Lonchura striata: one gene and its partner. The protein of the gene in region 1 purifies or fractionates together with the protein of each later gene. This does not show direct contact. Links are inferred from orthologs where the notes say so. Each region holds a gene or a part of one and is shown on either strand. Other genes may lie near its edges.

Region 1 (3,747 bases):
ATTTTGGGTGCCCCCAGGTGTATTTTGGGTGTCCCCAGGTGCATTTTGAGTGCCCCCAGGTGCATTTTGAGTGCCCCCAGGTGTATTTTGGGTGTCCCCAGGTGTATTTTGGGTGCCCCCAGGTGTATTTTAGGTGCCCCCAGGTGCATTTTGAGTGCCCCCAGGTGTATTTTGGGTGCCCCCAGGTGTATTTTGGGTGTCCCCAGGTGTATTTTGGGTGCCCCCAGGTGTATTTTAGGTGCCCCCAGGTGCATTTTGAGTGCCCCCAGGTGTATTTTGGGTGCCCCCAGGTGTATTTTGGGTGCCCCCAGGCGCCCCCAGGTGTATTTTGGGTGCCCCCAGGTGTATTTTGGGTGCCCCCAGGTGTATTTCGGGCGCGGCCCAGGCCTCTCACCGGTGTCGCGCCGCCGGGCCGAGCTGACCACGCCGTAGGCGCCGGTGCCGATGGTCTCGATGACCTCGTAGTCGTCGCCGACGTCGAAGGTGACGTCGAGCGCCCGCGCCTTCAGCAGCGCCAGCGGCCCCGGCGCCTCGGGGGCGTGGTCTGCGCCCGGGGGGGCGTGGTCTGGGCCATGGGGGGCGTGGTCTGTGCCATGGGGGGCGTGGTCTGGGCCATGGGGGGCGTGGTCTGTGCCATGGGGGGCGTGGCCTGTACCATGGTGGGCGTGGTCTGTGCCATGGGGGGCGTGGCATGTGCCATGGGGGGCGTGGCATGTGCCATGGGGGGCGTGGCCTGGGCCATGGTGGGTGTGGTCTGGCACATTGGGGGCGTGGTCTGGCACATGGTGGGCGTGGTCTGGCACATGGTGGGCGTGGCCTGTGCCATGGGGGGCGTGGTCTGGCACATGGTGGGCGTGGTCTGGCACATGGTGGGCGTGGCCTGTGCCATGGTGGGCGTGGCCTGGGCCATGGTGGGCGTGGCCTGGCACATGGGGGGCGTGGTCTGGCACATGGGGGGCGTGGCCTGTTCCGTCAGGGGCGGGGCCCGGCTCGGCCATGGCGCCGGCGCGGGTGGGATCGGTTGGGGGAGGGGGAGGAGTCACCTGAAAAAAGCGAAAATCACCCCAAAAAAATCGTCTGGGATCGGCGGGGATCCTCCCCCAGTTCGTCCCAGTTCATCCCGGTTCCCTCCCAGTTATGCCGGGACCTCCCCTAAACCCGTCCCAGTAAAGCCCAGTTCTGTCCCAGTCCCACCCAGTCCACCCCAGTCCATCCCAGTTCACCCGGTTTGCCTCCAGTTCCTCCCAGTTCCCTCCCAGTCTATCCCAGTTCCCTCCCAGTCCCTCCATGTCCATCCCAGTTCATCCCAGTTCATCTCAGTCCCCTCCCAGTCTGTCCCAGTTACTCCAGGACCCCCCTTAACCCCTCCCAGTTCTCCCAGTTCCCTTCCCAGTTACCCCAGTTCCCATCCAGTTCCCTCCCAGTCCCTCCCAGTTTATCCCAGCCCCTCCCAGTTCCCTCCCAGTCCCTCCCCTTTCCCTCCCAGTTCACTCCCAGTCCCCCCCAGTTCCCTCCCAGTTTATCCCAGTTCCCTCCCAGTCCCTCCCAGTTCCCTCCCAGTCCCTCCGTGTCCATCCCAGTTCATCCCAGTCCCCTCCCAGTCTGTCTCAGTTACTCCAGGACCCCCCTAAACCCTCCCCAGTTCTCCCAGTCCCTCCCAGTTCCTCCATGTCCATTCCAGTCCCTCCATGTCCATCCCAGTTTATCCCAGTCCCCCCCAGTCCATCCCAGTTCACCCAGTTTGCCTCCAGTTCCCTCCCAGTTCCCTCCCAGTCCCTCCGTGTCCATCCCAGTCCCCTCCCAGTCCTTCCCAGTTCCCCCCCAGTCCATCCCAGTTTATCCCAGTCCCCCCCAGTCTCTCCCAGTTTATCCCAGTTCCCTCCCAGTCCTTCCCAGTCCCTCCCAGTTTATCCCAATCCCATCCCAGTCTCCCCCAGTCTCTCCCAGTTTATCCCAGTCCCCCCCAATACCATCCCAGTCTCCCCCAATCCCATCCCAGTCTCTCCCAGTTTATCCCAGTCTCTCCCAGTTTATCCCAATCCCATCCCAGTCTCCCCCAATCCCTCCCAGTTTGTCCCAGTTTATCCCAGTTCCCCCCAGTCCCTCCCGTCCCCCCCCCCGGGGGCCGTTGCCATGGCGACCCCGCGGCTCTTCCCTCTCCCCCCCCCGCGCTCTTACCGCCCCCGCCGCCCCTCCCGCCGCTCCCGCCGGGCCCGGGAAGCGGCGCCGCCCGGCCCCGCCCCCTGCGCCGCTTCCGGGACGCACTTCCGGCCTCCCCGCGGCGGTTCCGGCCTCGGAGGATTTCCGCGGCGCCCGGGGATTTTTGGGGAACTTTTCCCGCTCGTCCGGGCGGCTTTGGAGGAATTTTGGGTCATCGCCGTGGTGTTTAAAGGATTTCCGGTTGGTTCTGTGGAACTTCCGGGTTCTCTCCATGGCGGACTTCCGGTTGGTCTCGACGGTTCCATGGAACTTCCGGCTCGTCTCTGTGGTGCTTCCCATTCATCTCTATGGGCAGGCTCTGGTCGCTCCTGCGCATGCGCGGCCGCCGTGAGGGATCTACCATTCATCTCTATTGATGGCTCTGGTCGCTCCTGCGCATGCGCGGCCGCTATGAGTGACCTCCCATTCATGTCTATTGACGGCTCTGGTCGCTCCTGCGCATGCGCGGTCTCCATTAGGGACCTCCCATTCATGTCTATGGACGGCTCTGGTCGCTCCTGCGCATGCGCGGTGTCCATTAGGGTCCTCCCATTCATGTCTATGGACGGCTCTGGTCGCTCCTGCGCATGCGCGGTGTCCATTAGGGACCTCCCATTCATGTCTATGGACGGCTCTGGTCGCTCCTGCGCATGCGCGGTGTCCATTAGGGACCTCCCATTCATGTCTATTGACGGCTCTGGTCGCTCCTGCGCATGCGCAGCCGCCATGAGGGACCGGACGCGGGAACTGCGCCAGGCGAGAGCCCAGAAAAATGGGGAAAAAAAAGGAAAAAACGGGGAAAAAAGCCAAAAAGCGGGAAAAGGAGCCCGGAATCGGGATGGGGGAAGGCGGAAATGGAGGAGGGAGTGAGGAAAAAGGGGGAAGAGCCCAGAAATTGGGGAAGAAAGGGCGAAAATGGGAGCGGGGAGCTCGGGAATGGCGAAAAGTGGGAAAAAGATGTGAAAATGTGGGAAAAAAGCACAAAGAAACGGGTTGGGAGGCCAGAAATGCGGGAAATGAGGGAAAAAGTCGGAAATGAACCCAAAAATTGGGAAAAGAGCCCAAAAAATCAGGAAAAAGAGCGAAAATCAGGAAATAAACCCAAAAATCAGGAGAATGAAGTCAAAAATTGGGAAAATGTTTCTAAAAAAATGGGGAAAAGAGTTCAAAAATTGGGAAAAGAGCCCAAAAATTAGGTGAAGAGTCTAAAAACCAGGAAAAAGAGGCGAAAATCAGGAAATAAACTCAAAAATCAGGAGAATGAACTCAAAAATTGGAAAAATGTTTCCAAAAAAAATGGGGAAAAGAGTTCAAAAATTGGGAAAAGAGCCCAAAAATTAGGCGAAGAGTCTAAAAACCAGGAAAAAGAGGCGAAAATCAGGAAATAAACCCAAAAATCAGGAGAATGAACTCAAAAATTGGAAAAATGTTTCCAAAAAAAATGGGGAAAAGAGTTCAAAAATTGGGAAAAGAGCCCAAAAATTAGGCGAAGAGTCTAAAAACCAGGAAAAAGAGGCGAAAATCAGGAAATAAACCCAAAAATCAGGA
Region 2 (3,747 bases), on another chromosome or scaffold:
ACCTACAAATCCAACCCCCGGACCCCCAATTCCAACTGCAGGACCCCCAATTCCAACCCCCGGACCCCCAATTCCAACCTCAGGACCCCCAATTCCACCCCCGGGACCCCCAATTTGAACGTCAGGCCCCGCAATTCCAACCCCGGGACCCCCAATTCCAACCCCCGGACCCCCAACTCCAACTGCAGGACCCCCAATTCCAACTGCAGGACCACCAATTCTATCCCCGGGACCCCCATTTCCACCTGCAGGACCCCCAATTCTACCCCCGGGACCCCCATTTCCAGCCCAACCCTCGACCCTCGAGCTGCCGTTCAGGACCCCCGGCCCCCATTTCCCAGCGCCCCCCCGCTCATCCCCAACCCCCGCGCCCCCCTCCCCAAGCCACGCCCCCTCTCCCCCAAGCCACGCCCCTTCTCCCCCAAGCCACGCCCCCTCTCCCCCAAGCCACGCCCCCCCGTCCCCACGCCCCCCATTCACCCCCTCGCCCCCCCAACTCCCACCCCCCGCGCCCCCCACGCCCACCCCCCGCTTTCCCCCGTCCCCCCACGCCCCCCACGCCCCCCGCCCCTCCTCGCAGGCCGCCAGGGCCGCCGCCAGCAGCTCCTCGCCCGCGCCGCTGCCCTGCAGCCACAGCAGCGCCAGCGCCAGCGCCGCCAGCGCCGCCCGGGCCGCCCTCCGCCGCCACCTGCGCCGCCTCGGGCCCATCCCGCAGCCCTCCCCGCGCTCCTCTCACCTCCGGCGGGCCCCAAAAACCCCCAAATCCGCCCCAAAATCCACCCCCGGGGGAGGGGGGGGGGGCGCGCTCGGGCGGCGGGCGGCGCGCGGGGAGGGGGCGTGGCCACGGCGGGATAATTAGCATAAACGGGGCGGTGGGCGGGGCTTAGAGGAGGGGGCGTGGTTTGGGGCTGCGGCGCATGCGCAGAGCGGAGGGGGCGTGGCTCGAGGCGTTGGGGCCGCGCGCGGAGCGGAGGGTGAAGAACGGGGGGGGGGCGAGGGGGGATTTTGGGGGGATTTTTGGGGATTTTGGGGATTTTTGGGGGTCCCGGGAGGGTCTTGGGGTCCCCCTGGGAATGCGGGGGGGTCCTGGAGGGGCCTTGGGGGGGTTTGGGTGGGGCAGGAGGAGATTTGAGGGGGGGCCGCGAGGGAATTTGGGGGTTCTGGGGGGAATTTTGGGGGTCCCGGAAGGATTTTTGGGGGTCTCGAGGGGATTTTGGGGGTCCCGAGTGGGTTTTCGGGGGTCCCGAGGGGAATCTGGGGATCCTGAAGGGGTTTGGGTGGTTACGAGGGGAATTTGGGGGTCCCCTGAGGATTTTGGGGGTCCCGAGAGGATTTTGGGGGTCTTGGGAGGGGTTTTGGGGGTCCTGAGGAGAATTTGGGGGTCCTGAATGAATTTTTGAGGGGTCCTGAGGGGATTTTGGGGGGTCCCAAAGGGATTTTGGGGATCCCGAGGGGATTTTGGGGGTCTCGAGTAGAATTTTGGGGAGTCCCGAGGGGATTTTGGGGATCCAGAGAGGAATTTTGGGGGTTCCCAAGGGATTTTGGGGGACCTCAGAGGATTTTGGGGGTCCCGAGCGGATTTTGGGGGGTCCCGAGGAGATTTTGGGGGGTCCCGAGGAGAATTTGGGGGCCTTGAGGGGATTTTGGGGGTCCTGAATGAATTTTGGGGGTCCCGAGGGGATTTTGGGGGGTCCCGAGGAGAATTTGGGGGCCTTGAGGGGATTTTGGGGGTCCTGAATGAATTTTGGGGGGTCCCGAGGGGATTTTGGGGGGTCTCGAGGAGAATTTGGGGGTCCTGAGGGAAATTTGGGGGTCCCCAGAGGAATTTGGGGGGTCTTAAGGGGATTTTGGGGGGGTCCCGAGGGGAATTTGGGGGTCTCGAGGGGAATTTGGGGTGTCCTGGGTGGGGTTTGGATTTTTGGGAATTTGGGATTTTTGGGGCTTTGGATTTTTTGGGGGCTCCTGGATTTTGTTTTTTTTGGGGGGGGTCTCTGAGGGGTCACGGGAGATTTTGGGGGTGCGGGGGGTGACCCCAAACCCCCCCCAGCCCCCCAAAATCGCCCCCAAATTCCCCCCCAGCCCCCCAAAATCGCCCCCATGGCGGAGCCGCTGCAGAAGAAGCTCCAGGCGGAGCTGGAGAAATACCAACAGCTGCAGAAAGGTGAGCCCAAAATCCCCCAAAATCACCCCAAAAATCTGCCCTGGGAGCCCCAAAATCACCCCAAAAATCACCCAAAATCACCCCCAAAATCTGCCAAAATCACCACAAAAAATCTGCCCTGGGAACCCCAAAATCACCCCAAAAATCACCCAAAATCACCACAAAAAATCTGCCCTGGGAGCCCCAAAATCACCCCAAAAATCACCCAAAATCACCCCAAAAATCTGCCCTGGGAACCCCAAAAATCACCCAAAATCACCCCCAAAATCTGCCAAAATCACCACAAAAAATCTGCCCTGGGAACCCCTAAAATCACCCCAAAAATCTGCCCTGGGAACCCCTAAAATCACCCCAAAAATCTGCCCTGGGAGCCCCAAAATTACCCCAAAAATCCCCCAAAATCACCCCAAAAATCTGCCCTGGGAACCCCAAAATCATCCCAAAAATCACCCAAAATCACCCCCAAAATCTGCCAAAATCACCCCAAAAATCTGCCCTGGGAACCCCTGAATTCACCCCAAAAAACCCCACAAAATTCTGCCCTGGGAACCCCAAAATCACCCCAAAAAATTCCTCCTGGGAGCCCCAAAATTATCCCAAAAATCTGCCCTGGGAACCCCCAAAGTCACCCCAAAAATCCCCCAAAATCCCCCCAAAAATCTGCCGTGGGAACCCCAAAATCACCCCAAAAAATTTCTCCTGGGAGCCCCAAAATCACCCCAAAAATCTGCCCTGGGAACCCCAAAATTCCCCCAAAAATCCCCCAAAATCACCCCAAAAATCTGCCATGGGAACCCCCAAAATCACCCCAAAAATCACCCAAAATCACCCCAAAAATCTGCCCTGGGAACCCCCAAAATCACCCCCAAAATCTGCCAAAATCACCCCAAAAAATCTGCCCTGGGAACCCCCAAAATCACCCCAAAAAATTCCTCCTGGGAGCCCCAAAATTACTCCAAAAATCTGCCCTGGGAACCCCAAAATTCCCCCAAAAATCCCCCAAAATCACCCCAAAAATCTGCCCTGGGAACCCCCAAAATCACCCCAAAAATCCTCCTGGGAACCCCCAAAATCACCCCAAAAATCACCCAAAATCACCCCCAAAATCTGCCAAAATCACCACAAAAAATCTGCCCTGGGAACCCCAAAAATCACCCCAAAAAATTCCTCCTGGGAGCCCCAAAATCACCCAAAAAATCCTCCTGGGAACCCCAAAAATCTGCCCTGGGAACCCCAAAAATGCCCCCAAAAATCCCCCCAAAAATCTGCCCTGGGAACCCCAAAAATACCCCCAAAAATCTGCCCTGGGAACCCCAAAAATCCCCCCAAAAATCCCCCAAAATCACCCCAAAAATCTGCCCTGGGAACCCCAAAATCACCCCAAAAATCACCCCAAAAATCTGCCCTGGGAACCCCCAAAGTCACCCCAAAAATCCCCCAAAATCACCCAACAAATCTGCCCTGGGAACCCCAAAAATCCCCCCAAAAATTCCCAAAAATCACCCCAAAAATCTGCCCTGGGAACCCCAAAAATCCCCCCAAAAATCCCCCCAAAAATCACCCCAAAAATCTGCCCTGGGAACCCC

The links. The genes of interacting proteins can lie anywhere in the genome.
Region 2: the proteins of MAPK7 (region 1) and PFDN6 purify together in Homo sapiens (affinity purification with mass spectrometry; 3 studies listed by BioGRID and IntAct, with this or other methods). This does not show direct contact. The link is inferred for Lonchura striata from reciprocal best matches to the Homo sapiens genes MAPK7 and PFDN6.

What each region holds. Positions count from the first base shown.
Region 1 is NC_134637.1:104,235-107,981, reverse strand, and holds the start of MAPK7 (mitogen-activated protein kinase 7), read right to left. Parts: upstream 2,421-3,747; 5' UTR 2,266-2,420; intron 1,044-2,265; 5' UTR 999-1,043; coding exon 395-998; intron 1-394. UniProt on the Homo sapiens protein: Plays a role in various cellular processes such as proliferation, differentiation and cell survival. The upstream activator of MAPK7 is the MAPK kinase MAP2K5.
Region 2 is NC_134631.1:621,860-625,606, forward strand, and holds the start of PFDN6 (prefoldin subunit 6), read left to right. Parts: upstream 1-877; 5' UTR 878-917; coding exon 918-974; intron 975-2,079; coding exon 2,080-2,161; intron 2,162-3,747. UniProt on the Homo sapiens protein: Binds specifically to cytosolic chaperonin (c-CPN) and transfers target proteins to it. Binds to nascent polypeptide chain and promotes folding in an environment in which there are many competing pathways for nonnative proteins.